Sus scrofa: one gene and its partners. The protein of the gene in region 5 purifies or fractionates together with the protein of the main gene of each other region. This does not show direct contact. Links are inferred from orthologs where the notes say so. Each region holds a gene or a part of one and is shown on either strand. Other genes may lie near its edges.

Region 1 (4,207 bases), on a different chromosome or scaffold from region 5:
ATTCTGCTCTTGGCTGCAGAAGAAATGGCACCTCACTTTTGGTTTTTGTCAAGACCTCAGTCAGGCCCCCTTTGAAGGTAACAGTTTATTTATGAACACATCCCTTTCCTTTGGCTGGTCTGAGCGGTCTAGGGAAAGAGACCTGAGCGGGCTGTGGCCTGTTTTAAATCCCTAGGCTCTCCTCCCTCCCACTCCCTTTTTGCTCTCCTCCCCTTCACATTCCTGCTACTTGGAAAGACAGTGAGGCCTCATACTTCAACATTTTCTTAAAGAACCACTTAGCCATTCTTTCTCCGGGATGGGCACAAGATGCCAGTTATTCCCTTAAATGAGTGGATGTTTTAAAAGCTGGGTGGGAGACCACATACTACAAATTTAGATGAACAAATTAAAGGGAATTAAAAAATCTCAAGAACAGCTTTTTCACACTTCTCTACCACCTTTCCTTAGGCTGTGTGGAAATAAAATAAACGAAGACCACCAATGAGAACAGGCTATTCATTCAAAGCTTGCTGTAACAAGGGAGCCAGCCGCCTTCTCTTAGTTTGGTAGACTTAGAGGCCGGCAGTTTAAAAAAAAAAAAAAAAAAAAAAAAAAAAATTAAATTAAAAAAAAAGGGCAGGGGGCGGCGGTAAAGCTTCAGGGTATGCTCTGATTGGAGGTTGTTAACACGGGGTAGCTGGAGGCGGGCTAACTAGAAACTGGGCATCTTAAGTGATTGGTTTGAGGGAATATATTTGGCTTTCTCTGATTGGTCCCGAGTTGGGAGCAGGGGCAAAAATTCGGGAAGCTGGCAGTCAACGACGAAGTTTTTTGCCCCTTCCGTCACTGCAGAGGCTGTGGTTTCGCCTCTCGTGCTACTGGAAGCAGAAGTTGAGGGTCGTCAACACATGGTTTGGTCATTGCCCTGTATATTGTCTCTCAGCTGGGTGAGACCCAGGTTTATATTTTCCCTGGACCTAACTTAAACGTTCTAGCTTCCAGTTCTTGTTTTACCTGGAACAAGAGTCCATTCCTGTTATTTTTGTTAAGGATAAACGGAGACATTCAGATGTGAAAAATATTTATGGGTATAAATACATAATTATCTTTCTGATGAGGGTCAATCTGGAAAGGGAGTCGCCTTCGGTCTTCTGGTTCCCCATTTATGTGCAGAGCTCTTATTCCTATAATAACTGACTCAGTGTTTCTTTCCTTTGGGAGAGGCTAGGCCTCCCTGGTTCCCTCTCTGAGAATTGCTCTTTGGAGCAGAGCGAGGAGGATCGCTGCCCCAGTGTCCCATTCTCTTTCCTGAGGCTCGCTCTCCGGGTTCCGGCCGTGGTCGCACCTTGGCTACTCAGCATCCCAACACCCCCGCGCCAGATCCGCCTCTACAGTCTCCCCCACCCCCCGCTTGCCCTGACACAGCGCCCCCTGTCCCCAGCCCCGCGCGCTCCCCGGGGTTCTCCCCGCTGCACCGGTCCCGGCTGGCCCCCCTTCCGGTGCCCAAACCCCGGCGCGCGCTGGCGCCTCCAGACTACTGGTTCCGCGTGTTCCTGGATGGAGGCCGGAGGGGCTCGGACGCGACCCCTCGGTCCTGCAGCAGCCTCCTTCGCCCGCGGGAGATGTCAGGTCAGCTCTCCCGTCCCCGAGCCGCTACCCGGTCTTTGGTCAGGAAAAAGCAGATCCTCCTCAGGTCCCACGCTCCCGATTTCCACTCTAGGGGGACCCTTCCCAGCGACCATTCCCCTATCATTTCTCCTCAGCTGTAGAAAGAGCAGCCCTCCTTTCCCTTCAGAAAGGGAGCCGTATTTCCCTTCCGACTTCCCCTCCACCGGGGCCCCGTGAGTCCCGGATCCGTAGGAAAGCACAGGCCTTCATTTTCTCCTCGGGTAGGTTCCCTGGCCAGGATTTGTCCTGTCGCGAAGCAGGACAGACTGAGACGCCGCGGCCGACACAGCTGCGGCGGCGGCCGGAGTCTCGCCATCTTGCGCGGAGGAGGAGCCGCAGCGGCCGCCATGCGGAGAACGCAGGGAGGAGGGGGGCAGGGAGCGGGGGAGCCGAGTTAGCTCAGTCCGGGCGGCGGCTTCGACGGCGCCTTGAGCGCGGGCAGCGGCGGAGGTAGGGCTGGACGGCCCCGGGAGCGGGCAGGCGCTGGCTGGTCGGCAGTGCAGCCCTGGCAGCTGAGCGGGGGCGGGGCGGGAGGAGGCCGAAGCGAGGGGCCGGGTGGGGGCGGGCGGAGGTTTCCGAGGAGGAAGGAGCGGCCGCCATTTTGGGAGCTTCGAGTCAACAATAAAGGACCGGGGGTGCCGAGCGGGAGTGGCCTCGGTGGTAGGACTCGGGCTCGAGCCGCGGGAAGTGGGGTGAGGCGGGGGGGTGGAGGTCGGCGTTGACGCCGAGGCTGCGGGTAGCCCCCCGGCAGCTCTGAAAGGGGGTCTGAGGTGGAGGCCTGAGGCCTGGCCGGGCCCTGGGGAGGAAGGCGGGTGGCGGGCGGCAGCTGTGTGGGGTGGGGGCGCCCGGGAGGAGTAGGATGGAGCAATGTGGTGCGCGACAGGGTCTGGAGAAGGAGCGGGCGAAGTTCGCAGAGGAGTTTTGTAGAAGATGAGGGAAGGTGGGACCGTAGGAGGCAGCAAGGACTTAGGGAGATGGTGGAGGTTACTGGGTAAAAGGCGGCCCTATAGGGGGCGGCAGGGATATGCGGTGTCGGGAGAGCTTGGTTTGGAAGAGGACCGGCTGTTTGATCTGAGTAAGGCCGTGTAGGTCAATAACAAGGCGGTGATCTTGGAGCCCCGGATTCTTGGAGAAAAGAACAGGCCTTCTGACTTAAGGGTTTCTCTTTGGGGCCTTTTTGGGGGAGTCCCTATTGTTCCCTACCCGCGGAGCTGGTTCCCTGCTCTTGTTGCGCAGATACGATTGCAGGGCTCCAGCCCTTTTGTGTTTATGGGTCCAGAGAGCTGACTTGAAGTGTGTGGGTTTTTTTGGGTGGGGGTGAGAAGATAGAAGCAAGAAATGATTTCCCTACAATTAGGGAGCTCGAATCATTGGCTTGTTTCTTTCCCTTATCGCCCAGTCCCCTTTCTCTTCGACAGTCCCCTCATCCCTTCAAAATAGAACAGTCACTCTAACTTGCACACCAAGCTTAGAGAAACTGCGCTGCATTTGCAAACAAAAGGTCTTTTTGGAGATGACGGTACAGTTTGGCGTGTGAAACTGTCAGTTGCTAACTACGATCTGGAAAGTGCTGTAATTAACTCCGCTAGGGGCTCCTCCCAACTAGTCTGTGTGTCGTTCGTATTTTTGAAAATGTAGAAATATAACTTGCAAATCTAAATTGAGAAAGGGTAGGAGGAATATTTCCTTTCCTGAGACATAAAGCTGCAGTGCAGGCTTTAGCTTAATTAAGAGGGGAGCAGTTATCACATAGTCACATTTTGGATATAGGAAGATAGAAGGTCTTGTGTGTATAATGGACAGTGATGATATCATTTAATCTTTAGAGGTTGCCTTCTTCATCCTCTTAGTGCTTTGCAAACCAGTCTTCTGGTGTGAAGTAGCTGGTATTGCTGATCATAATATAAACCTGTCAATACTGGAAACCACTTACTACCTTGAACTGAAATTAGGTGGCTGTTAACCACCCTCTGCTTAAGAGGACTTTCAGCTTCTTGGGAGACGTGGAAATAGACAGCTTTGTGTATGTGATGATCAAGATTTGCTTTTGAGCAGCTTGATTTTTATTTAAAAAAAAAACCTCAAAGAGTATTTTAAAAGATTTTATAGTTTGAGAAATCTCGGTATATGGCAAGAAAACATTAACTAGTAAGCTAGTGTATTTTTGGTAAAACATTTAAAGCAGTTGACAAACCAAACAGGCCTTTATTTTCTGGCTTTTTCTGCCTGGCTTTTAAATTAAGTTTTTATTTACAAATAATTTGATTGGGGAATAGTTTTTTAAAATTTAACTATTAATTGGTACTCTGGGTTTCCTGGAGAGTTTGATCAAAGTTACTAGTGTTTTTAGCCTCTCACAGATTTTTTTTTTAATAGAAGTAAATTCCTTTTTGTGTTTTTGTAATTTAAAAGCAGTGCTATTTCAAGTTGGGATATGCCTTTTGAAAAGTGTTATACTAAAAATTATACCAGTTTTGTAGTATTCAGATTTAATTAATGTAGCTAAAGATTTTCTTGGCTGTTTTTCAAGCAAAAGTGTATACATTTTATATCCCTT
Region 2 (3,500 bases), about 32 Mb from region 5:
TTACTAAGTGTTAGGTACCATGAAGAATAATTCGTGTTTTTTTTTTCCTCTTACGTTTCATAGCAGCTCTATGTAATGATACTTTTGCTCTCTCCATTTTACAGGTGAAGAAATTGAGGTTTAGGGAGAATAAGTGATTTGTTTAAGGCTTCCTTAAACCCAGGTCTTTCTAACTCCAGAGTCCCTATAACTGACTGCTGCACTCTTAAGAAAGCTACTATTTGTATTTAAAAGGTTTGTTTTTATTTTTTAAGTAAAATATAGTAGTACAGATAATTCAGTTAAAATCTCAATCCAAGGAGTTCCCCTGGTTTCAGTGGTAACGAACCCGACTAGTATCCATGAAGACTTGGGTGCAGTCCCTGGCCCTGCTTAGCGGGTTAAGGTTCTGGCATTGCCCTGAGCTGTGGTGTAGGTCAAAGACTCGGCTCAGATCTGGCATTGCTGTGGCTATGCTATAGGCCGGCAGCTATAGCTCCTATTTGACCCCTAGCCTGGGAATGTCCATATGCTGTGGGTGCGGCCCTAAAAAGATTAAAAAAAAAAAAATCAAAAAATCTCAATCCAGGAAGAAATGCCTAAAAGAGCCACTTGATTTAGTTACTGTCTTAATCCTTTTCCTCAGTTTAAAATAATCAGATTACTAAGAACCTGGAGTTCCCTGAGGGCTCAGTGGGTTAAGGACCCACTGTTGTCACTGCTGTGGGGTGACAGCACAGCAGTCCAGGAACTTCTGCATACCACAGGTGCATCCCCCTCCCCCAAAAAAAGAAACAGTCTGCCTCTAGAAATGTATTCAACTTTGACACAAAATCAGATTCTATAACTCTTGTTTCACTTGTGTCAGTTGTCCTGAATTTTAAGAGGTTGTGCCAGACCATTCCTCCAGTGTGTTCTCAGCGTTGGAACTACCAAACAAGTTTAGCCATTAAGTAATACCAGGAATTGGTTAGCTTCCTGGAAACAGATTTTGTCAACTTGATAGACCAGCTCTTATAATAGCATCATTTTACACAGAATTAGAAACAGTTTCTCTAGTCACACGTGTCATGTATTTGACTTGAAAAGCATATGTGTGTGTCTGCATGTATTCACATCCATCTTGTTTCGATGTCTGAGATGAGACAATTGAAATTCTCATTTCAGAGGGTGGTTACCTTGATACCGAAAACTCCATGCATTCTGCTGCAGGACCATCACTGGATGGTCCTCAGAAAACACCCATCTAATCATAATTGTACTTGAAATTAACTGTTACATTTGGCTCAATAATTTTATACATGTATAATATTTAATGACATATGAGCAATATATAAGCATGTGTGTGTGTGTGTATATATATATATATATATATTAGCCAATCATCCTAGCTTAGATGTTATGCTCTGTTTTTACATTTTGGTTAGGAGGTTAAAAAACAAAAACCAAGCAGGTTCCCTCTCTTTAAGGAGCTTATAGGTAAATTGCTAAAAATATAAAATAATCGATGGGATGTATGTGTTTTAATTTTGACAAGTGTCTTTGTATAGATACCCACTTCCTCCTCTGTTATTCCATTTATCTCATTCTTTTGGTTTTACAGCTCTATCACTTTCATACTTTTGAATATATTTTGAAGTGGAATTAGTTGGGAAGTTACTCTACTGATGTTTTTCCAGCAAGTCTTAAATCTCATTTTCTGATCAGGCAAAAACCTCTTCATGGGCACCCTTCTCCTTCCTTTTCTGCACCTTCTCAAATGGCATATAGGGCATCTGAGTAGAGTTGGTCTAGGAAAGGGGAGAAGCAAATAACACCGTTTTACTTCCTATGCTCCATGCTGCTCTTTCCATGGGGTATGAGAATATTTTCAACAGACAGTGATACAGGGCTGAAGATCGGCACCCTTTTTGGGTGGAGCCTTTTTATTTTTTTCAATTTAAAACTTTTTAAAAATTTTGGCTGCCACTGCAGCATGTGGAAGTTCCCAGGCCAGGGATCAAATCTGTGCCACAGCAGTGACCCGAGCTGCTGCAGTGACAACACCAGATCCTTAACTTATTGTGCCACACGGGAACTCTTTTTTGGTGGAGTCTTACACTGCTTATTTTAAGGTGCGCCCTGAGTCCCTAAGTGACTGACTTGTTACTAAAGCAAGTGTAAAAACTCATTCCTCAGGTATCTTTGCAGATCAACAAATCAATTTTATTTTCTACACCACAGTGCCATTTGAGTGGACAAGGACCTCTTGAAAGACCTGGGAGAATTTTGCAAAACATGGAATTGGGCTGTTTTAGGTTCTAGGTTTTAGCCAGTTGTCTTCAGTGCATGAGAACTCTAGTGCTCTATGCTATTTCAAGAAAGGGGGATTACAAGTAATACCAGTAAGGCAGAGACAATGCGTTGCTTGGTCAGTTAGGGAAGAAAAACAATAGAAATGCCTTTTAACTTCCCTCTGGGAAGCAGAAAGCCTATAAACTTGTAAAGAGTTGGGAGGGGAGGCCTTCAAAGGCTAGGCAACTTATGTTCAAAACAGCAACCTGAGGTCCTCGTTTAGTACCTTTTAAAACATGCTTTTCTACAAACGATGCTTTTCTACAAACGATGCTTTAAGAATAAGTCGGAGTTCCCATCGTGGTGCAGTGGTTAACGAATCCGACTAGGAACCATGAGGTTGCGGGATCTATCCCTGGCCTTGCTCAGTGGGTTAAAGATCTGGCGTTGCCCTGAGCTGCGGTGGAGGTGGCAGACTCGGCTCCGATCCCACGTTGCTGTGGCTCTGGCGTAGGCCAGCAGCTACAGCTCCGATTTGACCCCTAGCCTGGGAACCTCCATGTGCTGCGAGCGAGGCTCTAGAAAATACGAAAAGACAATAAATAAATAAGTAAATAAATAAAAAATAAAAAAAGAATGTCTTTGTCCCATAATCAACTCCATGAATTCATCTTTTCACTCCGTACCCTACTACACTGTGCTCTGTTGTTCTTCACTTCATTCCAACTTCTCATCTATTTTTTCTGGTTGAGTTTCTCTGGCACGAGGAATTGCTCTGTTTGAGCACCTCCCTTGCCCCCAGTGAATTCATAGATATTGCTGCCAGAAATCTGATTGGAAAGCTATTAGAATCCATTAAAATTCACATTGCCATAGTCTGACCTCAGTTATCTACTTTTCACGGATAGCAAATTCATGTGATTATAGTTACAGGATCTGTCATTTCACCTGGGCAGAACTCCCTGAGTATGTCATGTTTATTTGTGAAAGTACTTTTGTGGTCTGTGTTAAAGTATCTTAGTGCATGTGCTTTCTTTCTTTGCAGACGAACAGGAGGCACTGAACTCGATCATGAAGGATCTGGTGGCCCTCCAGATGAGCCGACGTCCCCGGGTGCCTGGATATGAGACCATTAAGAACAAAGACACTGGTCACCCAAATAGGCAGGTGTGTGTGTGGCCATAGCAGGCTTAATTGGACTTGGTGGGGAGAGGTGTTCAAGTGGGAAATATTTGAGAAGCCAATGA
Region 3 (4,220 bases), on a different chromosome or scaffold from region 5:
TTATTTGAGCCCTGGGGTGGTGCCAGACAAGTTCTCTGCCAGACCGGATGCCGAGAGGATTCTCACATCCACCAGGATGCCGGAACCTGCTAGCGTCTGAGTCTGAACCCACCCTGACTCATGAGGAATGCCCCAGATCCCTGGGTCCCAATGCCAGGCCTTGCTGGGCAGGCTGTGTCTCTCGGGGCGGTTATCCTGCTGTTACCCAGCAATGAGGACCTAGAAGCTGGGGAGGCAGGGCCAGGGTAGCCAGCAAGGCAGGGCTGCAAGCAAAACCTGGGCCAACAGTGGCACCCTTCTGTCTCTTATGAAAAAAATAACAACATGAGCACTGCTATGTGGCTGGCCAGGAGCTGCTCTGGGAGTGACCAAAACAGGCAGACCTTGACCTGCAATCTAGGGAGGAGACAGAAACTGACAAGGAAAATGTTAGAAGGAATAAATGCAACAGAGAGAATTAAATGGGTGCACTAGACAGGCTGGACGGCTGCTCCACAGAGGGGGTGGGGAGTCAAGGACAGGCTCTCTGAGGAGGTGACCCTGAATGACAGCATCATCACTTTGTCTTTTTTTTTTTTTTTTTTTTTTGCAGCTCCCCGCGGCATGTGGACGTTCCTGGGCCAGGGATGGAACTCTCACCACAGCAGTGACCCAAGCCACAGCAGTGACAATGCCTGATCCTTAACCCACTAGGCCACCAGAGAACTCTGTCATCCCTTTGTCTTGATTATCCGACCAATAGGATTTGCTGTGGTGTTCGCCCGCAGGATGCCCCGCTGCCCCTGGCCACTCTTTTCTCCCTTAGGGCCAGAAGCCTCCGTCTCTTCCTCCCAAGAAGCAGCCCTAAGATGCCGTGAATCTCCTATAGGAATGAGGACGGCTCCGAAGGAGTTGGGTGGGGCAAAGCCACTTTCTAGAGACGAACAAGGCTGGGGTCCGATTTGCGAGACTGGGGTAACAGCAGCACCAGCTTTACTCGGTTTGCATTAGCATTAAACGTGCACCGGGACACAGTAAGTGCTGAGAAGGTGGCAACTACCTCGTTAAATGTCGATAAATGTCAAATGTCTCCCCCGGGACTGAGGAGGCGGGGCCTTCTCCCTGGGCCTCAGTTTCTCCCGCCGCGCACTCTGGCCTCAGTACAAGGTAAATTCAGGTGCACATCTTCCCAGTCTGTCCACACCCCTAAGCTTCGGAGCCGGTTACAGCGGAAGAATCCGAGGCCGCAGGAGATTGGGAAGTGGCGGCTGGGAATTTATGCCCCAGGCGAACCCACGCCCCTCAATGGCCACGCCTCACCTCTGATGGCCACGCCCTTGACCCCTCCCCCTCGCCTGGAGTGGGCCCAGCCAGCGTGCTCCTTTAAGGCAGTCAGCCGGCTGGGAAGTGTTTCGCCCCCTCCGACGCCGCCAAGGTACCGGCTTCACCTTTAAGGCGGCGCGGGGACTGCTGGGAAGGCCGGCGGGATGGAGGCAGCGGGACCTGCTCACGGCTGCTGCTCTGGGTGAAGCCGGGAGGGAGCCGGAGCCAGAGCGGGAGGCGGGCCCGAACGGGAGACGCAGGTCCGCGCGGGCCGATCGGGCCGGGCCGGGAGAGGTGGCTCTGGGTCGGCCTAGGAGAGGGGTCGTCGTGGGCGCGGCCTGTGACAGGGCCATGCCAGCCCGCGGGGAGGGGGCGCGGTCCTCGGTGGCTGGGGGCGGGAGCTCGGCCTTTTCAGGGGAGGGGTCTTCAGGACTTCGTGCTGCCCTATGATGGGGAGGGATTGTCGTGGTCGCGGCCTGGGGGGATGGAGAACCTGACGTCTCACCTCCTTAGGGGGAGGGTCTCCCCAGGGTCGGCCTGCCCCGGAGGCGGGGCTCTGTGGCTCGGCCTGCCTGTTGGGGAGGGGGCTGGGGTCTCTGCGTGGGAGTGAACCCCCGCGGTCCTCGTAGGACCCTCCTCTGGCGCGCCCTGCTCTGGCTAAGGGAGTCTCCGGGGAAGCCCCGAGATTGGGTGGCTTAGGCCGGCCTGAGCCAGTGGTCTGGGCCGAATCCGGGTCCAGCCTCGCAGGTCGCACCGCATTGCGTCTCCCGGGCCAAGACGAGCCGGGCGCGCCCCCTGTAGGCCGAGCGCGAGCACGGTGCGGGCTGCAGCCTGGGGCACCAGGGCACTCCAGGGATCCAGGCGTCCGGGGACCCAGGTGTTTACCTAATCCAGGGCGGACGGCGGCGTGGCCCCAGGCCCGGCACCCCCTGCCCGCCCTCTCGCCTTCACAGGCGGCGCGACCATGGCCACGATGGTGCTTCCTCGGGAGGAGAAGCTGAGCCAGGATGAGATCGTGCTGGGCACCAAGGCCGTCATCCAAGGGCTAGAGACCCTGCGCGGGGAGCATCGCGCCCTTCTCGCGCCCCTGGTCGCTCATGAAGCTGGTGAGGCAGAGCCTGGCTCACAGGAGCGCTGTGTCCTCCTTCGCCGCTCCCTGGAGGCCATCGAGCTGGGGCTGGGGGAGGCCCAGGTAGGCTGGTTTGGGGGTGCTCACGAGGGAGGTCATGGGAGGGATGGAGCCTTCCAGAGGAATCCTGGCAATGCAGTAACAGAATCAGCAGGGAAGAAGCATATGTCCTCTGGAGCCCCATGGTAGGATCCGAGTCATGAAATGGGTGGGCTTTGGAGACCCCAACCATGCCTGGCCCCAGGAAAGCCTGATCATCTCCCTTCTCTGCTAGGTAGCAGAGACTGAATGGCCTAGGAAGACAAAAAGGAAATCCCCCATCATTCTTTTATTTATTTGTTAGCAGATAAGTTCTCAAGAGCCTACTATGTGCCAGGCAACATGTTAGGTGCCAAGGACGCGTCCAACAAGACAGACAAGATGCGTCCCCTAGTCCAGTAGGGAGAGAGTCAGAAACACATCTATTTGTTCAATATTATGGTAGGTTCTCCAAAGAAAAGAACAAGATTTTTGATAAAGCAGGAGGTCTTCTTTATTGGTCAGGCAAGACTTCTGAGGAAATGACATTTAAATCAAGATCTGAGTGAATTTGCTAGTAAAAAAGTAGATCTGAGGGAAGGAGTGAACCAGCCTCCAGGAAATGAGCGAACAGTTGCATGTGCAAAGGTCCTGAGGTAGGAAAGATTGTTCTGGTGGGAGAACTGAAAGAAGACCTATCTGACTGGATCTTCCTGGGGAAGGAGAGAGGGACCAAAGAGGCCTGTGAAGAAGGCAGGGACTCCATCATCTGTGCTTTACTAGTTTGGGTTTTATTCTTAGGAAAACACGAAGCCTTTGGAGTGTTTAAGCAGTCAAGGGACATAGTCTGGCTTAGATTTTAAAAACTCACTCGGGCTGAAGCGTGGAGACGGAATGAAGCATCGAGGTTAGGGTGGGAACAGGTGGTTAGGAAGCCGCTGCTGGAATGCAAATGAGAAATGGTGGCTTGGGAGTTCTCATCACGGCTCAGTGGTTAACGAATCCGACTAGGAACCATGAGGTTGCTGGTTCCTTCCCTGGCCTCACTCAGTGGGTTAAGGATCCGGCGTTGCCGTGGGAGCTGTGGCGTAGGTCGCAGACGCACCTCGGATCTGGCCTTGCTGTGGCTCTGGCGTAAGCTGGCAGCTGTAGCTCTGATTCGACCCCTAGCCAGGGAACCTCCATATGCTGCAGGTGCAGCCCTAAAAGACAAAAGCAAAAAAAAAAAAAAAAAAAAAGAGAGAGAGAGAGAGAGAGAGAGAGAAATGGCGGCTTGGAGTAAAGGGATGGCCATGAGGGCAGTAAGAAAGGGGACCAGTTCTAGATGCTCTGGGTGTAAGTCAGGCAGGGCCTGGGATGGACTAAGGGGGAGAGAGGAGAGCAGGATGGCTCCCAGGTTTGAGGCTTGAGCAGATTAAGGGGAGGAGAGAGCCTGGATGGATCAGGGGTTCGTTCTGTGGCCCTCTTGGGCCGGGGCTGCCACGATGACAGGCGGATGGCGATGTCCAGGAGGCACTGGGGTGCACAGGGAGTTAGGGCTCTTGGGGAAAGAGCTTTGTCCTGCTCAGATCTTGGCGGAGACACTGCCTGGCTCCACGAATCCTGGCCAGGTGGTATCATCTTGGTTTCCTTGTTTTTAAAATAGGGATCATGCCATCTGCCATACACACTTTCAGGCTGTTTAGGGAATTTTTTTTTTTAAAAAAGCTAGTGGTTGTGAAAACACCTGTCACTTAGGCATTTGCTAATCAACTAGAAAGCACAGAGTCCC
Region 4 (3,500 bases), on a different chromosome or scaffold from region 5:
GTATGCCATTTATTTCATAATTTTGGGATTTCAATATTGTTCCTATTTATAGGGAAAATTTTTAGGAAATTCTTAAGGTATCAACCTTAAATACCAAAAGGTTTTAAAGGTGCATTATGAGATTAGAACTTAACTTAAAATTGGAAAGTAGGGGTTACTGTCATGGCTCAGTGGTTAAGGAATCCAGCTAGGAACCAGGTTTGATCCCTGGCTTCACGCAGTGGGTTAAGGATCTGGCGTTGCCGTGAGATGTGATGTGGTCACAGAGGCGGCTCAGATCTGGCATTGCGGTGGCCCTGACGTAGGCTGGTAGCTGTAGCTCCGATTAGACCCCTAGCCTGGGAATGTCCATGTGCCGAAAGTGCAGCCCTAAAATGACAAAAGACAAAAAAAAATTGGAAAATAAAAAATAGGATGAACTGAAGGGATTGAGAAGTTCATAATTTATAAAAATTTGGGCAGTAATTTCAGAAGTATTAGTGTTAATAACAAGAAAGGTATTATTTTACAACTAAGATTTGAGTTTTGAGACTGAATTAAAAGAGCCAGTTTACAGGAAAATAATTTCAGATACTTGAGGGTAGAGGAGGAAAGAAATAGGTGAGGTAGATTATGAAGTACAAACTTCTGGAGTTCACGTCGTGGTGCAGTAGAAACAGTTCGACTAGGAAGCATGAGATTGTGGGTTCGATCCCTGGCCTCGCTCACTGCGTTAAGGATTTGGTGTTGCTGTGACCTGTGGTGTAGGTCGCAGACTTGGCTCAGATCCCACGTTGCTGTGGCTCTGGCATAGGCTGGCAGCTACAGCTCTCATTGGACCCTTAGCCTGGGAACCTCTTAGGGTGCAGCTCTAAAAAGACAAAAAAAAAAAAAAACCCACAAAACTTTAAAAAAAAGTTCAAACCTCTAATTACAAAATAAATGAGTCACAGATATGAGATGTTTCAAATCACTATGCTGTGTAACAGGAGTTAACATTAGCAACAAACATACAACAAATTCAGAAAAAGAGATCAGATTTGTGGTTACCAGAGGAGAGGGATGGGATAGGGAGAATTGAATGAAGGTAGTCAAAAGATGAAACTTTCAGTTTTAATATAAATAAGAACTAAGGATGTGATATACAAAAACGATAAGTAAAACTAACATTGCTGAGGAGTTCTCTTGTGGCCCAGTGTTAGCAAACCTGATTAGTACCCATGACGATGGGGGTTCAGTCCCTGGCCCCGCTCAGTGGGTTAAGCATCTGGCATTGCCATGAGTTGTGGTGTATGTAGGTGGCAGACTCGGTTCAGCCCCTCCTTTGCTGTGGCTGTGGTGTAGGCTGGCAGCTGTAGCTCCAGTTCGACCTCTGGTCTGGAAACTACCATATGCTGCAGTGCAGCACTTTAAAAAAAAAAATAGAACTAACATTGCTGTGTATTATATAAGAAAATTGTAAGTAAAGTTATACAGTGCTGTACATTAAGCATGTCTCAGACTTGAAGATCAAGAAAAATAAGTAAGAACTAGTTTTAAAAAAAACCAAATGGGTAAAAGGACAATAATTTTTTGCTTGTTAAAAATCTTACTAGACCTGTTTTGCATAGTGGGACACTACTAACCAGTAATCTTTAAAGGAAACATTGGTTGTATTTATTGTTAAACATCTTAATGGAGAACCTATTAAAAACATGAAAGTTACGCCTTAATAAGACTTTATTGAGAGTAAGTGGTGGGTCTCTACTTTGAAGTTAACCATCCCTCATACACAGTACCTTAGAATCCTGGTCCTGCTGCATTAGAGCTAGTCACTTGATTTGAGGCCTCAGTTTCCTTTAATAATTAACAGATTTAAACTACATTGTCTATGGCCCCCTCAGACTATCATGATCTCTTGGTAGAAAATTTTAATACATTAAACTTAAAGTATAGGAGTTAGCAGTTTTCAGCAGATACTCAACCTAAATTAGAGATATTGACTTAGCTACTTAATGAGTTAACAAGTGCCTAAATTAATGTTGAAAATTTTTTGTTTTGTTTTTCCTTTTTTTAACAGGTAGCTGAAAATTTTGTTCCTCCTCTGTTGGATGCCGTTCTCATTGATTATCAGAGAAATGTCCCAGCTGCTAGAGAACCAGAAGTGCTCAGTACTATGGCTATTATTGTCAACAAGTTAGGAGGACATATAACAGCTGAAATACCTCAAATATTTGATGCTGTTTTTGAATGCACATTGAATATGATAAATAAGGTATGTGATCTGCATTTTTTAATGTACAAGAAATTATAATAGCAAGGTACATTTGAGATTGTTCAAATAGCAACTTGCATTTATTGAAAAATTGGCTTTAGTTGTATTTGTTGAAATAAACAGGCGGGTTTACATTTTTAGTTTTTATAAGTATAGTATATCCTTATAAAGAATGGGGAAATGTATTAACCAAGAGGAAGAAAAGGTACATGTAAGTCTATACCTTTATGCAGTAGGTAACAATTTTCTAATCTGTACAGTGGTCTCAAGGTCATTAAAATTGGTAGTGGGAGTTCCCGTCGTGGCGCAGTAGTTAACAAATCTGACTAGGAACCATGAGGTTGCGGGTTCGGTCCCTGCCCTTGCTCAGTGGGTTAACGATCTGGCGTTGCTGTGAGCTGTGGTGTAGGTCGCAGACTTGGCTCGGATCCTGCGTAGCTGTGGCTCTGGTGTAGGCTGGCGGCTACAGCTCTGATTCGACCCCTAGCCTGGGAACCTCCATATGCCGCGGGAGCGGCCCTAGAAATGGCAAAAAGACACACACACACACACACACACACACACAAACACACACACACAAATTGGTAGTGATGGAATTGCTATTGTGGCTGAGTTGGGTTAAGAACCCAACTAGTATCCATGAGGATGTGGGTTCTATCCCTGGCCTTGCTCAGTGGGTTAAGGATCTGGTGTTGCCGTAAGCTGTGGTATAGATCTCAGATGCCCAAATTCAACCCTAGCCTGGGAATTTCCATATGCCACAGGTTCGCCCTAAAAAGAAAAAAAAAAGTTGGTAGTGATTGTGTTAAAGTTACTAGAAAATGTGCGTGGTTCTTAGGTGGCTTTTTTTTTGGTCTTTTAAGGGCCACACTCTTGGCATATGCAAGTTCCCACCCTATGGCTCAACTACTGGCCTGTGTGCTCACCAAGGCTGGATCTGAGCCACATTTGCGACCTACACCACAGTTCACAGCAAGGCCAGATCCTTACCCACTGGGCAAGGCCAGGGATAGAACCTGCATCCTCATGGATACTGTTCAGGTTTGTTACCGCTGAGTCACAATGGGAACTCCTCTTACGTGGCTTTTGATGAGTTCTCTTTATAATTAAATGACCTTGTATTCCTTTGTTTTGGGAAGTGATTGGTATAATAAATAGTAATTTTGTCTTACTTGAGAGGTGAATTCTGTTGTCTTTGGGTTTGCTTTTTCAGCAGGCCATACATCTTATGGGATCCACTAAAAACTCCAAACATTTATACTGAATT
Region 5 (3,500 bases):
TTTTTTGGCAGCCCTGTAGCATATGGAGTTCCCAGGCCCAGGATCAGATCTGAGCCACATTTGCAACTTAGGCTGCACCTGTGGCAAAGCCAGATCCTTGGACCTCCTGTGCCAGGCTGGGGTTGAACCTGTGTCGTCCTGTTGCTACAGAGACGCCACTGATCTGTTGCGTGCAGCAGGAACTCCATCATTGTTTTAATAGAGTAGAAAATACCCCATGGCATTGGGCATTTCATAAAGTTGTTTCATATATATGTGATGTTTTTCTTATTGTGGGTTTTGGTTACAAAAGTTTGATTTACTGTAGTGGTTCTTAACCAGAGGTTGATTTTGCTCCTCGGAGAACATTTGGCAATGTCTAGAGACGTTTTTGGTTTTCACAGCTCGAGGGTGCCACTGGTATTTATTGCGTAGAGGCAGGGATACTGCTAAGCATCCCATTATGCATAGAATAGCACCCCCCCCCCAACAAAGATGTATGTAGCCCAAAGTGTCACTAGTGCTGCTACTGAGAAACTGATTTTAGTGGAGCAGAGAGACATATAATCACACTCATTTAAGAGTACAGTGAGGGAAATGACAGAAACAGTCACAAAGCATAGGGAGAGATATTACACTCTATGTAATTGTGCAAGTTAATTTAATCTTTAAATGATCTTGTAAAGGATAGGTTACTATTCCACTTTATAGATGGGAAAAACCAAGGTTGTTCTGAGTGATTAAGTAACATACCTGGTACCACATAGAAGGTGGTGAGCTGGTATTAGTGTGACCATTACCTTCAAATACGTTGGAACAAACAGGAATCGTCAGTAGACAAGTTTGATGTCTCAGGGATGAGGAAATGAGAAAGTTTAATGTGCTGAAAAGAGAAGTCTGTGTGCTAGATTATAGGATTTGGGGTAAGTAGGAAAGGAAGCAGGAAGCAAAAAGAGGGACTGATAAATTGGGAGAAGATGAGAGTCAAGAGACCGGATGTCCTGATGTGCCTTTAAGTAGGAATAATAGTAAGAAAGGAACTAGAAAAGGAAGTTGTAATCCAGTAGTAAAATACTGGAATTTAAGAATTCCAGGATAGGAGTTCCTGCTGTGGCTTAGTGGGTTAAGAACCTGACTAGTATCCATGAATGTGCGTGTTCGATCCCTGGCCTCCTCGCTCAGTGGGTTAAGGATCTGGCATTGCCACAAGCTGTGGCTCAGATCTGGAGTTGCTGTGGCTGTGGTGTAGGCTAGCAGCCACAGCTCGGATTTGATCCCTCGTCTGGGAACTTCCATATGCCGAGGGTGTGGCCCTAAAATAAAAAAAAGAATGATAATTTGTATAATTTCGTATTTAAAGTTTTTGACTTTTTTTTTTAGGTTGAGACTGAGCTAAAATTAATCTGTTGTGACATTCTGGATGTACTGGACAAACACCTCATTCCAGCAGCTAACACTGGCGAGTCCAAGGTTTTCTATTATAAAATGTAGGTTCTATACTAGATGGGAAAATGTCAGATTAAATGTTGGCCTTTTTAGAATCACTTTTTCTTTTAGGTTTTCAGCATTTTATTTAATGTTGAAAGGGTAGTTAACGGGAGGACTGAATCTCAAAACTTACATTAATTTTTGAACACACATTTGCAAATTTACTGCTAAGAAGAATCAGTATTACTGCATTTAAGACGGTCAGACTGTTACTGTAAAAATGTCCTAGGTTTTGCTTTTCCTATTTATTATGTTCATTGGCTTGTGTAGGGCTGCCCCCCCTAGCTACAAGTAATGCAAAGTTTTTTTTCATGATTAATAAACTACCGTGTCAGTCTTTGGAACCATTTTTCTGTTTTAATTCAGGTCTGTCAAGTGGTTAAATTTGATTTTTTTTGAGCCCTTTTGGTTAATTTTGTCTAGGATTTTTCTTAACATTTGGCAGTGTGAAATCTGAGGAAAACTAAAGAGATGAGGCAGTCATTCCTGAAAGAGACTTTTTGAAATTTCTGAATTATATGTGTTAATTGTTATGCATTTTTTTTGCATACTTGATTTTATGTACTACAGAAAAATTTGAGGAATTTATTTTAAAAGTATTATTCCTAATTCTGTTGTTTTTTTGTTTGTTTTTGTTTTGTTTTAGGAAAGGGGACTACCACAGGTATCTGGCTGAATTTGCCACAGGAAACGACAGGAAAGAGGCTGCAGAGAACAGCCTAGTGGCTTATAAAGCTGCTAGTGATATTGCAATGACAGAACTTCCACCAACACATCCTATTCGTTTAGGTCTTGCCCTCAACTTTTCAGTATTCTACTATGAAATTCTTAATTCCCCTGACCGTGCCTGCAGGTAAGTCATGAAAGAGAACAAAAGCTCTCAACTGTGAATGTGAAAAAGGTTACAAGGGAGAATAGCTACTTGTTTTTCTGTCTTGTTCCCTGGGACTGCTTTTGTCCCCTTGGCCATGTAATAAGAATTATTTTGGGAGATCCTGTCATGGCTCAGTGGTTAAAGAATGTGGCATCCATGATGATGCAGATTTGATCCCTGGGCTCACTCAGTGGATTAAGGATCTGGTATTGCTGTGAGCTGCGGTGTAGGTCGAAGACATGGCTTGGATCCCGAATTGCTGTGGCTGTGGTGTAGGCCCAGCAGCTACAGCTCTGATTCGACCCCTACCCTGGGAACCTCCATATGCTGAGGGTACGGCCCTAAAAAAGTAAAAAACAAACAAACAGAAAGAATTATTTTGGCTCTTAATGAAACTGTTTTGGATGATATATAGACTGACTGATTTCAGTTCACTAGGATAGCAGGATAATTATGTTGATGGGGAAAAATTTGATTGGTAGAAATTTTCACAGTACTTCATTTTTATGTATTAATTTTCAAAGCCTTTCTACCATGTTTTTAATATATTACACTCTTAGTGTACATCTCATTTTGTATTTTGCATCCTGTTACTTCCATCAGTATGTGAATATTCCCTCATTTATACTTCAGATTGTGCCCCCCCCCCCTTTTTTTGTCTTTTCTAGGGCTGCCCCTGTGGCACATGGAGGTTCCCAGGCTAGGGGTCTAATTGGAGCTGTAGCTGCCGGCCTATGCCAGGGCCACAGCAAAGGATTGGAGGCATGTTCTCGACCTGCACCACTGCTCACGGCAACGCCGGATCCTTAACACACTAAATGAGGCCAGGGATCAAACCCCTGACCTCATGGTTCCCAGTCGGATTCATTAACCACTCAGCCATGACGGGAATGCCAAGATTGTTCCCAGTTGTTGATACCGACATAAATTTGAGGAATATCTTTTTTTAAATTAATTTTTTTAATCATTTATTTATATATATATTTCTGTACAGCATAGTGACCCAGTTATACTTACATGTGTACATTCTTTTTTCTCATACTACGTGTTCCATCGTAAGTGACTAGACAGAGTTCCCAGTGGGAGTATCTTTATCTACATAGCTTTTTACTTATTAAATATGTATAACGTTTATTATTCTAATGATTTTTTCATTTTT
Region 6 (3,500 bases), on a different chromosome or scaffold from region 5:
TCCCTGGCCCTGGGTTAAGGATCCGGCATTGTCATAAGCTGCGGTGTAGGTCGCAGATGTGGCACAGATGTGTAGTGTAAGCCGGCAGCTGCAGCTCTGATTCGACCCCTAGCCCAGGAACTTCCATATGCCACGAGTGCGGTCCTAAAAAGACAAAAAAAAAAAAAAACAAAAGACAAAAAAAAAAAAAAAAAAACACCTCATTTCCTTTGAATGTTGAGTCAGCTTCCATTGTATGAAGGTGTTGCCATCTAGCTGTTCTCCTCCTGAAGGACATCTGGGCTGCTTCCAGGTTATAATGTGGCAGTTGTGAATGTAGATGCTTTAAAGATTCATGTGTGGGGTTTCATGTGGACATCAGTTTCCACCTTCTTGGCACACACACCAAGGAGTGGGGTTGTTGGATTGTATGTTTATTTAGTTCTTTAAGAAACGGCCACAAAATAAAAGGTCCAATGGACATAAAGTGCTCAGAACAGTGTCTTACCATGGTCAGCGCCCTGCTTGAGTTGGCCATTGCTGTGATGGTCATCATTATTCTTATTCTGAAGTTCTTTGTGGCCTTGGGGGTTTCTGCCTGGTTCTGTCTCTTCCACATAAGTGTGTAGTTATTGTGAGGATCTGGCCTCACAGTAGGTCAGGTACGCATACACATGCATCTGATTCAGGGGATGGACCGCCTCTCACCAGGCGTCGTAGATGAGGTCTGGTATGTTGCCCTGGAGCAGCCACGGGGAAACATTGAGTAAACTTGAGTGAGAAAAACTGATGCTGAGAGCATTGTAAGAAGCAAAAAAAAAAAAAAAAAAAATCTGGAATTAAGGGAAGGGGTAATTACACGCATTGAGCAGCATGGGAATCATTTCAGAGAAATCAAACAAAAAAAGATTATCCCGGACACAGTGGAAAGAATACCAGCGTAGGGTCTCTTGTAGAGTAGTGGGTTAAGGATCTGGTGTTGTTGGATCATATGGTAGCTCTGTATTTAGTTTTCTGAGATCCCTCCATAATGTTTTCCATAATGGTTGTACCAGTTTACATCCTGAAGTCTGGGTTTATTACCTTCTCCTCTGTATAGATGTGTGGATGTGCACGTGTATGCCTAAAGACTTAATTTTTTTTTTTTTTTTTTTTTTTTTTTGTCTTCTTAGGGCTGCACCTACAGCATATGGAGGTTCCCAGATTAGAGGGTCAAATCAGAGCTGCGGCTGCTGGCCTACACCACGGCCACAGCAGTGCGAGATTCAAACCACATCTGAGACCTACGCCATAGCTCATGGCAATGCCGGATCCATAATCCACTGGGCAAGGCCAGGGATCAAACCTGCAGCCTCATGGATGCTAGTCAGATTTGTTTCCACCAAGCCACAACGGGAATTCCTCATAAACATTTTTTTAATATAAATGCATTATGTAAACTTTATATATTATTTCTCTCTACTTTATTTTATGTGGATATTTTTATCCACTACAGATATGTCATAATGTTGTTTCAGAACCTCTGGTGTATGTCAGGGTTGTTTTCCGAGTAATAACAGCCACTCTCCCCAGTGATTCTCAAGGCAGCTGCTAGTTCACGGAGAGGCCAGAAGGCTGGCACATATGTGTGTCAGCAGCATGTGGCTCTTAGACATGGATAGAAACTCCCTGTGAGGCACCACAAGACGGGGGGGAACTTACTTATGTTCAGATTTTAACAGGTAATTGTAGTCGGTTATGATGACTGATGAAAAATTGGCTTAAATTCCAATTTTAAAATGTAACTTTGAAACTATACTTCAATAAAAAAAATTTAAAAATGCAGTACTCTGTAAATCAACTATACATTTAAAAAAAAAAAAAAAGTACCTTCATTCCTTAGGTTCAAAACTTTGATTTGGTTAAAAAATTAGGTGCTAAGTGTGTTTTAAGTTAAGTGTTCAATGTCACTTTTTTTTCCTCAAATAAAACAAAATCCTAACTGTCACATAATATTGACTTTTTTTCCCCCAGCATTTTGTTTTCTTCCTTTTTTAAATAAATATTTTTTTGGTTAAAGTATAGTTGATTTACGATGTTGTGGCAATTTCTGATGTACAGCAGAGTGCCCCAGGCATAACGTTAAATACATAGATGAATAAATAATCAACTTTTTACTGCTAATTTACCTTGAATGTGTGTCTTCTCGTTTACTCTACTTCTGTTGCTGTTACGATTAGAGAAAGAAGTTTGCCAGCGATAGGGTGAAGAAAGTCATTTCTTCTTTGTTTTCATGTTTCTTAATAGTTTACATGTTTTCAGAAGATAGTTTTACAGCTGATCTGATTCATTTTAACTTAAAAACTTTTTAACTGGTTAATGAGCAATGCTGTCTGTCTAGTGACCTCAGATGAAAGCAATAAAACTTGGGGAAGGAACACGGTCTGTCGACAAGAAGAATTTGAAGATGTAAAAAGGAATTTCAAGAAAAAGGGTTGTACCTGGGGACCAAATTCGATTCAAATGAAAGAGAGAGCTGATTGCAAAGAAAGGTGAGTGTGTGGCTTCTGGTGGCATTATAGTGTGTACTGAGACAAAGGGCAGTGTCTTTTTCTTTTTTTTTTTTTTTTTTTTTTTTTTAGGGTCACACTCATAGCATATGGAGGTTCCCAGGCTAGGGATCAAATTGGAGGTACAGTGTCAGCCTGCGCCACAGCCACAGCAACATAGGATCTGAGCTGCTTCTGTGACCTACACCACAGCTCATGGCAACGCTGGATCCTTAACCTACTGATCAAGGCCGGGGATCAAACCTGCAACCTCATGGTTACTAGTCAGATTTGTTTCTGCTGCGCCACAATGGGAACTCTAAGGGCACTGTCTTTTAAATATTTCAATGGCTGGGCTTAACTTTTTAAAAGCATTTAGAATAATGCAGAGATACCCGAATATGTATCTAACTTCCGAATGAGTTCATCATCCTCAGTTAACTATTATTAGTTAAGCAGTTAAAAAAAAGTCTGTCTCATGTTAAGGGTTTATTTGTATTCTGCTGAGTTCTTTTAAAACAGAGTACAAATGTTTTTCTTTAACGAAAAATATTGTTGGCCTGTATCCTCCAAAACCTAATTTGTGTGTCACGTGGTTCTATTATCTCAAAATAAAACATTTTTCTCTTCTAGAATAAGACCTCTCTCAGATGGCAACAGCCCTTGGTCAACTGTCTTAATAAAAAATCAGAAAACTGTGCCGTTGGCTTCTTTATTTGTGGACCAGCCAGGTAAATGTGCGTCGGGAAGTAGAATTTGTTTGAATTAGGAGTTCCCTTTGTGGCTCAGCGGTTAACAAACCCGACTAGGATCCATGGGGATGCAGGTTCGATCCCTGGCCTTGCTCAGTGGGTTAAGGATCCAGCATTGCCGTGAGCTGTGGTGTAGGTAACAGATGCAACTCGGATCCCGAGTGTGCTGTGGCCGTGGTGTAGGCCAGGAGCTATAGCTCCAATTCGACCCTTAACCTGGGAAACTCCATATGCTGGGGGT
Region 7 (4,165 bases), on a different chromosome or scaffold from region 5:
GATCGAACCTGCATCTTCATGGATCCTAGTTGGGTTTGCTAACCGCTGAGCCACGAAGGGACCTCCTGTAACATTTCTAAGGAATGGGACCACAACCTCTGGGAAAGGTCTTAGTGTCCCCTTTGACACCCGTGCCTAATGATAGTTTCTCTGTCAGACTGAGTGCTTCCTTGAGGAACAGATGACGATGACTGTGACTCAGAGGCCTCCTAGTTTTCCTTGCAACCTGTGTTCGTAGTGCTGGGTGGGGTGTCTCCTTTACCACCCTAACTTTGTATTTACTACAAATACAAGTATCCTAATTATTAAGGTGTTACCTTAGGAGAGTTTCCACGTTTCCAATACTTGGGTCAATTAAACAATCTCACATTAAAAAAAAAAAGCAAAAAAACCCCCAGTGATCTAGAGATAACATGGTCCTGGAGGGATGTTTCCTTTCCCTATCCCCACCCTTACAGTTTTTTTTTTTTTTTTTTTTGCTGTTCCTCCCCGGGCCATGGGCCGGTTTGATGACTCTAATCCCTACATAAAGCTTCCCTTGGAATGCAGAGACTTTGCTTCCCTGCCTAGGAACTGGGAGGTGGACTTTACCCTCCAGGTCCTACACGTAGGCTTTGAAGTTTGGGGGGAAGGGAAGGAAATGTGCTCTCAGGAAAGCCCTAGACTGTCAGTGGCAGGTAAGATTCCTCTTCAATCCTCAATAGGTACACAATAAATAGTTGTTGAATAAATACGTGAGAATATCAGAACCTAGCAACATAAACTAAGTCAATCTCTTACATACCTCAACGATTAAAACCTAGGAGGCCAGATTTCGCTGTTTAACTACAGCTAGAAGATAAGCAGAGTGCCTGCAGTTGGTTGAGCACCCCTGCCTTTACTCGTCAAGGGACTGGAGTCAATTTCCCCACTTCCTGAAAGATTAAAATGGATTTACAACCTGGGGTTGAGATCCCCTTCTGTTTAGAATGACAGTCATTCCTATTCTGTGGAAACTCACCCCTCCCGGTTCCCATTCATTCATTCACTCATTCAACAAATATTTATTAAGCATCTAACAAATGTCGGTCCCTGTTGCAGGCGTTTGGGATAAAGCAGAGAACAAAGCAAGAGATCTTTGCCCTGGTGAAGCTTGGCGTAGGGCGAGACAAAAGACAAATATGATATTTAGATTTAATTACATAACTTGGAAGGTGATAAACACTACAGAGAAAAAGGCACCAGGCTGCATGATTTGGGGAGGCCAGGAGACGGGGGAGAATCCAAGACAGGGGTCTGGCTCGGGTTGGGGAAAAGGGAGACGGAGCTGATGTGGAGGCTCTGACGTCGGGGGACTGGGAGATATTTTCCGCAGAATGCGACGGAAGAGGATTCCAGCTTATGCGGAGGTAGGTGAAGGTCAGAAGACAGTCCCCTTGCGAAGCCGGGAGGCGGGGGATTGTTTTGCAGCAGAGGCGAGAAAATGCTTTGGCGGCTCCCGACCCCGGCCTGGCGGGGGCGGGGGCGGTCGCCAGCGGCTGACCACTACGCCCCCAAAATGGCCTCCCGATGCCCCTCGCCGCCCCGCCCCCGGCCCACGTGACCCAGACAGCCCCTCCCGCCCACCCGGGCTGGCGACCCCAGGTCCGGGTCCCTGACGCGGCCGGCCCGCCCCTCGTGGGAAACGGACCAACTGGAGGAAGGGGAGGGCGGGGCAGGTGGTGACGGCCAATGGAGGTGGAGCTCCGGAGGGGAGTAACAGGTTGGTGGGAGGGGGAGAGAGAAGGAGGGAGCGCGGAGGGACAGAGGGGGAGGGCCCGGGAGCCGCGCGTGCAGCTCTACCCGAGCCCGAGCCCGAGCCCGGGAGCGCCGAGCCCGGCTGGGGTGAGTGAACCGGGCGGGGGCAAGGGCACCTGAAAGGCAGGCGAGCCCTCAGGTGTACCCCTGAGGGGTGGGAGTCGAGGCGATCTGAGATACCCAGGGCACAGGTGCTGTGTTGGCGAGAGGAGGAGGGGAGGTCGAGGTAGGGTGGGAGCACTGATTAAGAGCTGGCTCCTGTCCTCAGGTGCCAGAGGCAGGTGCTTGGGAAGGTGCCAGGTGAGGGGCACCTGAGGCTGAGGCTATTCCCAGGGCATGAAAGTGTTTCAGGGCCAAGATAGCTCTGGTGGTCAGACGCCAGTTCCCGGGGCAGGATTTCTCAGAGGCGGGAATGGTGGGGGGAAGGAGTGTTTCCTCAGTTGGGCAAAGGGGACTGCTGCCTGAGGTTCGGAGACATAAGTGAGAGGGCGTGGAAAGGTGCTGTTTCCCTGAGGTTCTTTCCTCCGACGGCCAGTCCGAGCTGGCGCTGATACCTCCCTTCTGACTTTGAGATGGCTCTGAGGTGTGCAATCTTTCTCTAACCATTGCTCACCTACAGGGCAAGACAGGTGCAATTAACAGGCACTGAGAAGTAGAGCAAGAGGGCACCCCCATGTCTGCTAGGTGTGAAACGAAGGCTTTCAGTTTTTGTCTTCCTTTGCTTTCTTGCCAGGGAGAATTTTTCCTACTTCCTCTTGAGAGAGTGCTCTACAGGAGAGGGATCTGAGTAAGCATAGATCCCGAGGTCTTCAAAATATGTAGAAATACATCTTTCTAAAGAGGCCTCTTCCTGGGAGCTAACGTCAACCCCCCTCTCCCCCCCAAGCACATACTTCCATGGTTTTAGATGGAGCCATTGGGTGACGTTTGGGAGCTTAACCAGGTTCCTTGATGCTTCTCCGAAAATCCCTATTACTTTCTGAAACCCCATCGGGCATCCCTGACAGCTGGACGGTGATGGCTATCAGGCAGTAGGCATTGGTTCAGGAAACTGGCGGAACTCTTCAGGAGACCACCCGAGTAGGGGATTTAGCCCGTCCAGGTCTCCAGGCTGGATGAGAGGTGCTCAGTCGGGGCCCAGGCAAAACTTCTGAAGCAGATTTCCTTGCCTTAGGCAGGTGAGGGAACCTGAGCCAGCCTTAGCTTAGCCCCTTTGATGCCCTGCCTGAGGAGAGTTGTTGTAATTGAGAAATAATTAGTAACCGCTATGTTGTTGACAGGCTGCCTACACATGCCTCTGCACCTCTTTTTTCATCCTGGATTTTTTGGAAATGGGGGGCTGGCTCTAGGGGACTGTTCATCCAGAGATTTGCCTGACCCTAAGAGGATTCTGGCTTCCTAGAACCCTTCCTGCTTTCCCCAGACTGATCGCCTGCCATCACCCCCATGGGAAGTGGGAGGGGTAGGGTTGCTGCTTCTTTTAGTACTGGCGGGTGGGGGGAGAACTAAGGTTCAGGGAGGTGGCCTGGCTAAGTGTGAGATCTGGAATGCAACCTTGGGAACTTGAGAGGGAGGGGTAGCGGGAGACAAAGTCTTCCTGTTGCACACTGACTTGTCACTTACCAGGTTCATTGTGTATTTGCTCCTCCTGCCTGTTCCCTCCCCAGCTCCTGCCTCTTCCTTCAGAGTCTTGGCATCTAGGCTGGACAGAGTCCCTGCCCAGGGCTTTGCCCCTCTGCCTCCTCTGTGGTGTGGAATTTCTCTGGTCTGCTTAACAAGCTGCCAGTGGCGTCTCCCTTTGCTTTCTCCCTCCCCTTCCCCTTGCTTCTCAAACCTGTCCAGCCAGTTTGCAGGGGCCCAGTTCCTCGTTGCATTCCCCCCACACACACACTGGCCAAGCCGCTCTAGCCTGGTGCTCAGGTTTGGCTTTTTCAGTGGACTGAGCTAGGAGTATACTTGGGGGGGATTCATTTTGGATCCTCGGCAGCCTTATCTCACTAACTCTTTATGAGAAAATAGCAACTGAAAGATCAAGGTCACTGAGCTGTCCTTTTCTATTTTGACCAATTGCTTTCCTTGTTACCTCTGAGAGGAGTCTAATCTCTGTACCTTTAGTTCACCCATTTTCTTCATCTGCCAGTTATATAGCATCTAGTATATTGCTTGGCCCTATGTATACCCACGCTTCCTCGGCACACCCGAAACCACCCCACCCCCACTTCCTGCCAGGAGTCCAGAGACCCTGTCACTCTTAGTTGGAAGCCAGAGAAGCCTTTGCCGGGGCCAGAGGTGATGGAATAGGGGCAGGGCAGGCTAATGAGTAACTCAGGGAGAAGTGGCTGTCTGATACAGGTGCAGTGCCCTCCCCCTTGTTGCAGGCAGGAACAGC

What was found.
Region 1: the proteins of YWHAE (region 5) and DDX6 purify together in Homo sapiens (affinity purification with mass spectrometry; 3 studies listed by BioGRID and IntAct, with this or other methods). This does not show direct contact. The link is inferred for Sus scrofa from reciprocal best matches to the Homo sapiens genes YWHAE and DDX6.
Region 2: the proteins of YWHAE (region 5) and MAP3K3 purify together in Homo sapiens (affinity purification with mass spectrometry; 7 studies listed by BioGRID and IntAct, with this or other methods). This does not show direct contact. The link is inferred for Sus scrofa from reciprocal best matches to the Homo sapiens genes YWHAE and MAP3K3.
Region 3: the proteins of YWHAE (region 5) and KLC2 purify together in Homo sapiens (affinity purification with mass spectrometry; 3 studies listed by BioGRID and IntAct, with this or other methods). This does not show direct contact. The link is inferred for Sus scrofa from reciprocal best matches to the Homo sapiens genes YWHAE and KLC2.
Region 4: the proteins of YWHAE (region 5) and XPO1 fractionate together in Homo sapiens (co-fractionation; 3 studies listed by BioGRID, with this or other methods). This does not show direct contact. The link is inferred for Sus scrofa from reciprocal best matches to the Homo sapiens genes YWHAE and XPO1.
Region 6: the proteins of YWHAE (region 5) and MAP3K21 purify together in Homo sapiens (affinity purification with mass spectrometry; 3 studies listed by BioGRID and IntAct, with this or other methods). This does not show direct contact. The link is inferred for Sus scrofa from reciprocal best matches to the Homo sapiens genes YWHAE and MAP3K21.
Region 7: the proteins of YWHAE (region 5) and CGN purify together in Homo sapiens (affinity purification with mass spectrometry; 3 studies listed by BioGRID and IntAct, counting the BioPlex papers as one, with this or other methods). This does not show direct contact. The link is inferred for Sus scrofa from reciprocal best matches to the Homo sapiens genes YWHAE and CGN.

Annotation. Positions count from the first base shown.
Region 1 is NC_010451.4:46,061,037-46,065,243, reverse strand, and holds the start of DDX6 (probable ATP-dependent RNA helicase DDX6), read left to right. Parts: upstream 1-1,407; 5' UTR 1,408-1,611; intron 1,612-1,856; coding exon of another isoform or gene 1,857-2,654; intron 2,655-4,207. Other genes in the region: proline-rich receptor-like protein kinase PERK2, read right to left, coding at 1,857-2,654.
Region 2 is NC_010454.4:15,288,785-15,292,284, reverse strand, and holds part of MAP3K3 (mitogen-activated protein kinase kinase kinase 3), read left to right. Parts: intron 1-3,298; coding exon 3,299-3,420; intron 3,421-3,500. UniProt on the Homo sapiens protein: Component of a protein kinase signal transduction cascade. Mediates activation of the NF-kappa-B, AP1 and DDIT3 transcriptional regulators.
Region 3 is NC_010444.4:6,124,157-6,128,376, reverse strand, and holds the start of KLC2 (kinesin light chain 2), read left to right. Parts: upstream 1-1,420; 5' UTR 1,421-1,562; intron 1,563-2,196; exon of another isoform or gene 2,197-2,219; 5' UTR 2,220-2,266; coding exon 2,267-2,494; intron 2,495-4,220. UniProt on the Homo sapiens protein: Kinesin is a microtubule-associated force-producing protein that plays a role in organelle transport. The light chain functions in coupling of cargo to the heavy chain or in the modulation of its ATPase activity.
Region 4 is NC_010445.4:80,293,016-80,296,515, forward strand, and holds part of XPO1 (exportin-1), read left to right. Parts: intron 1-2,038; coding exon 2,039-2,233; intron 2,234-3,500. UniProt on the Homo sapiens protein: Mediates the nuclear export of cellular proteins (cargos) bearing a leucine-rich nuclear export signal (NES) and of RNAs.
Region 5 is NC_010454.4:47,610,828-47,614,327, reverse strand, and holds part of YWHAE (14-3-3 protein epsilon), read left to right. Parts: intron 1-1,359; coding exon 1,360-1,466; intron 1,467-2,113; coding exon 2,114-2,320; intron 2,321-3,500. UniProt on the Homo sapiens protein: Adapter protein implicated in the regulation of a large spectrum of both general and specialized signaling pathways. Binds to a large number of partners, usually by recognition of a phosphoserine or phosphothreonine motif.
Region 6 is NC_010456.5:57,433,469-57,436,968, reverse strand, and holds part of MAP3K21 (mitogen-activated protein kinase kinase kinase MLK4), read left to right. Parts: intron 1-2,359; coding exon 2,360-2,510; intron 2,511-3,140; coding exon 3,141-3,238; intron 3,239-3,500. UniProt on the Homo sapiens protein: Negative regulator of TLR4 signaling. Does not activate JNK1/MAPK8 pathway, p38/MAPK14, nor ERK2/MAPK1 pathways.
Region 7 is NC_010446.5:97,727,699-97,731,863, reverse strand, and holds the start of CGN (cingulin), read left to right. Parts: upstream 1-1,365; 5' UTR 1,366-1,388; intron 1,389-1,739; exon of another isoform or gene 1,740-1,863; intron 1,864-4,165. UniProt on the Homo sapiens protein: Probably plays a role in the formation and regulation of the tight junction (TJ) paracellular permeability barrier.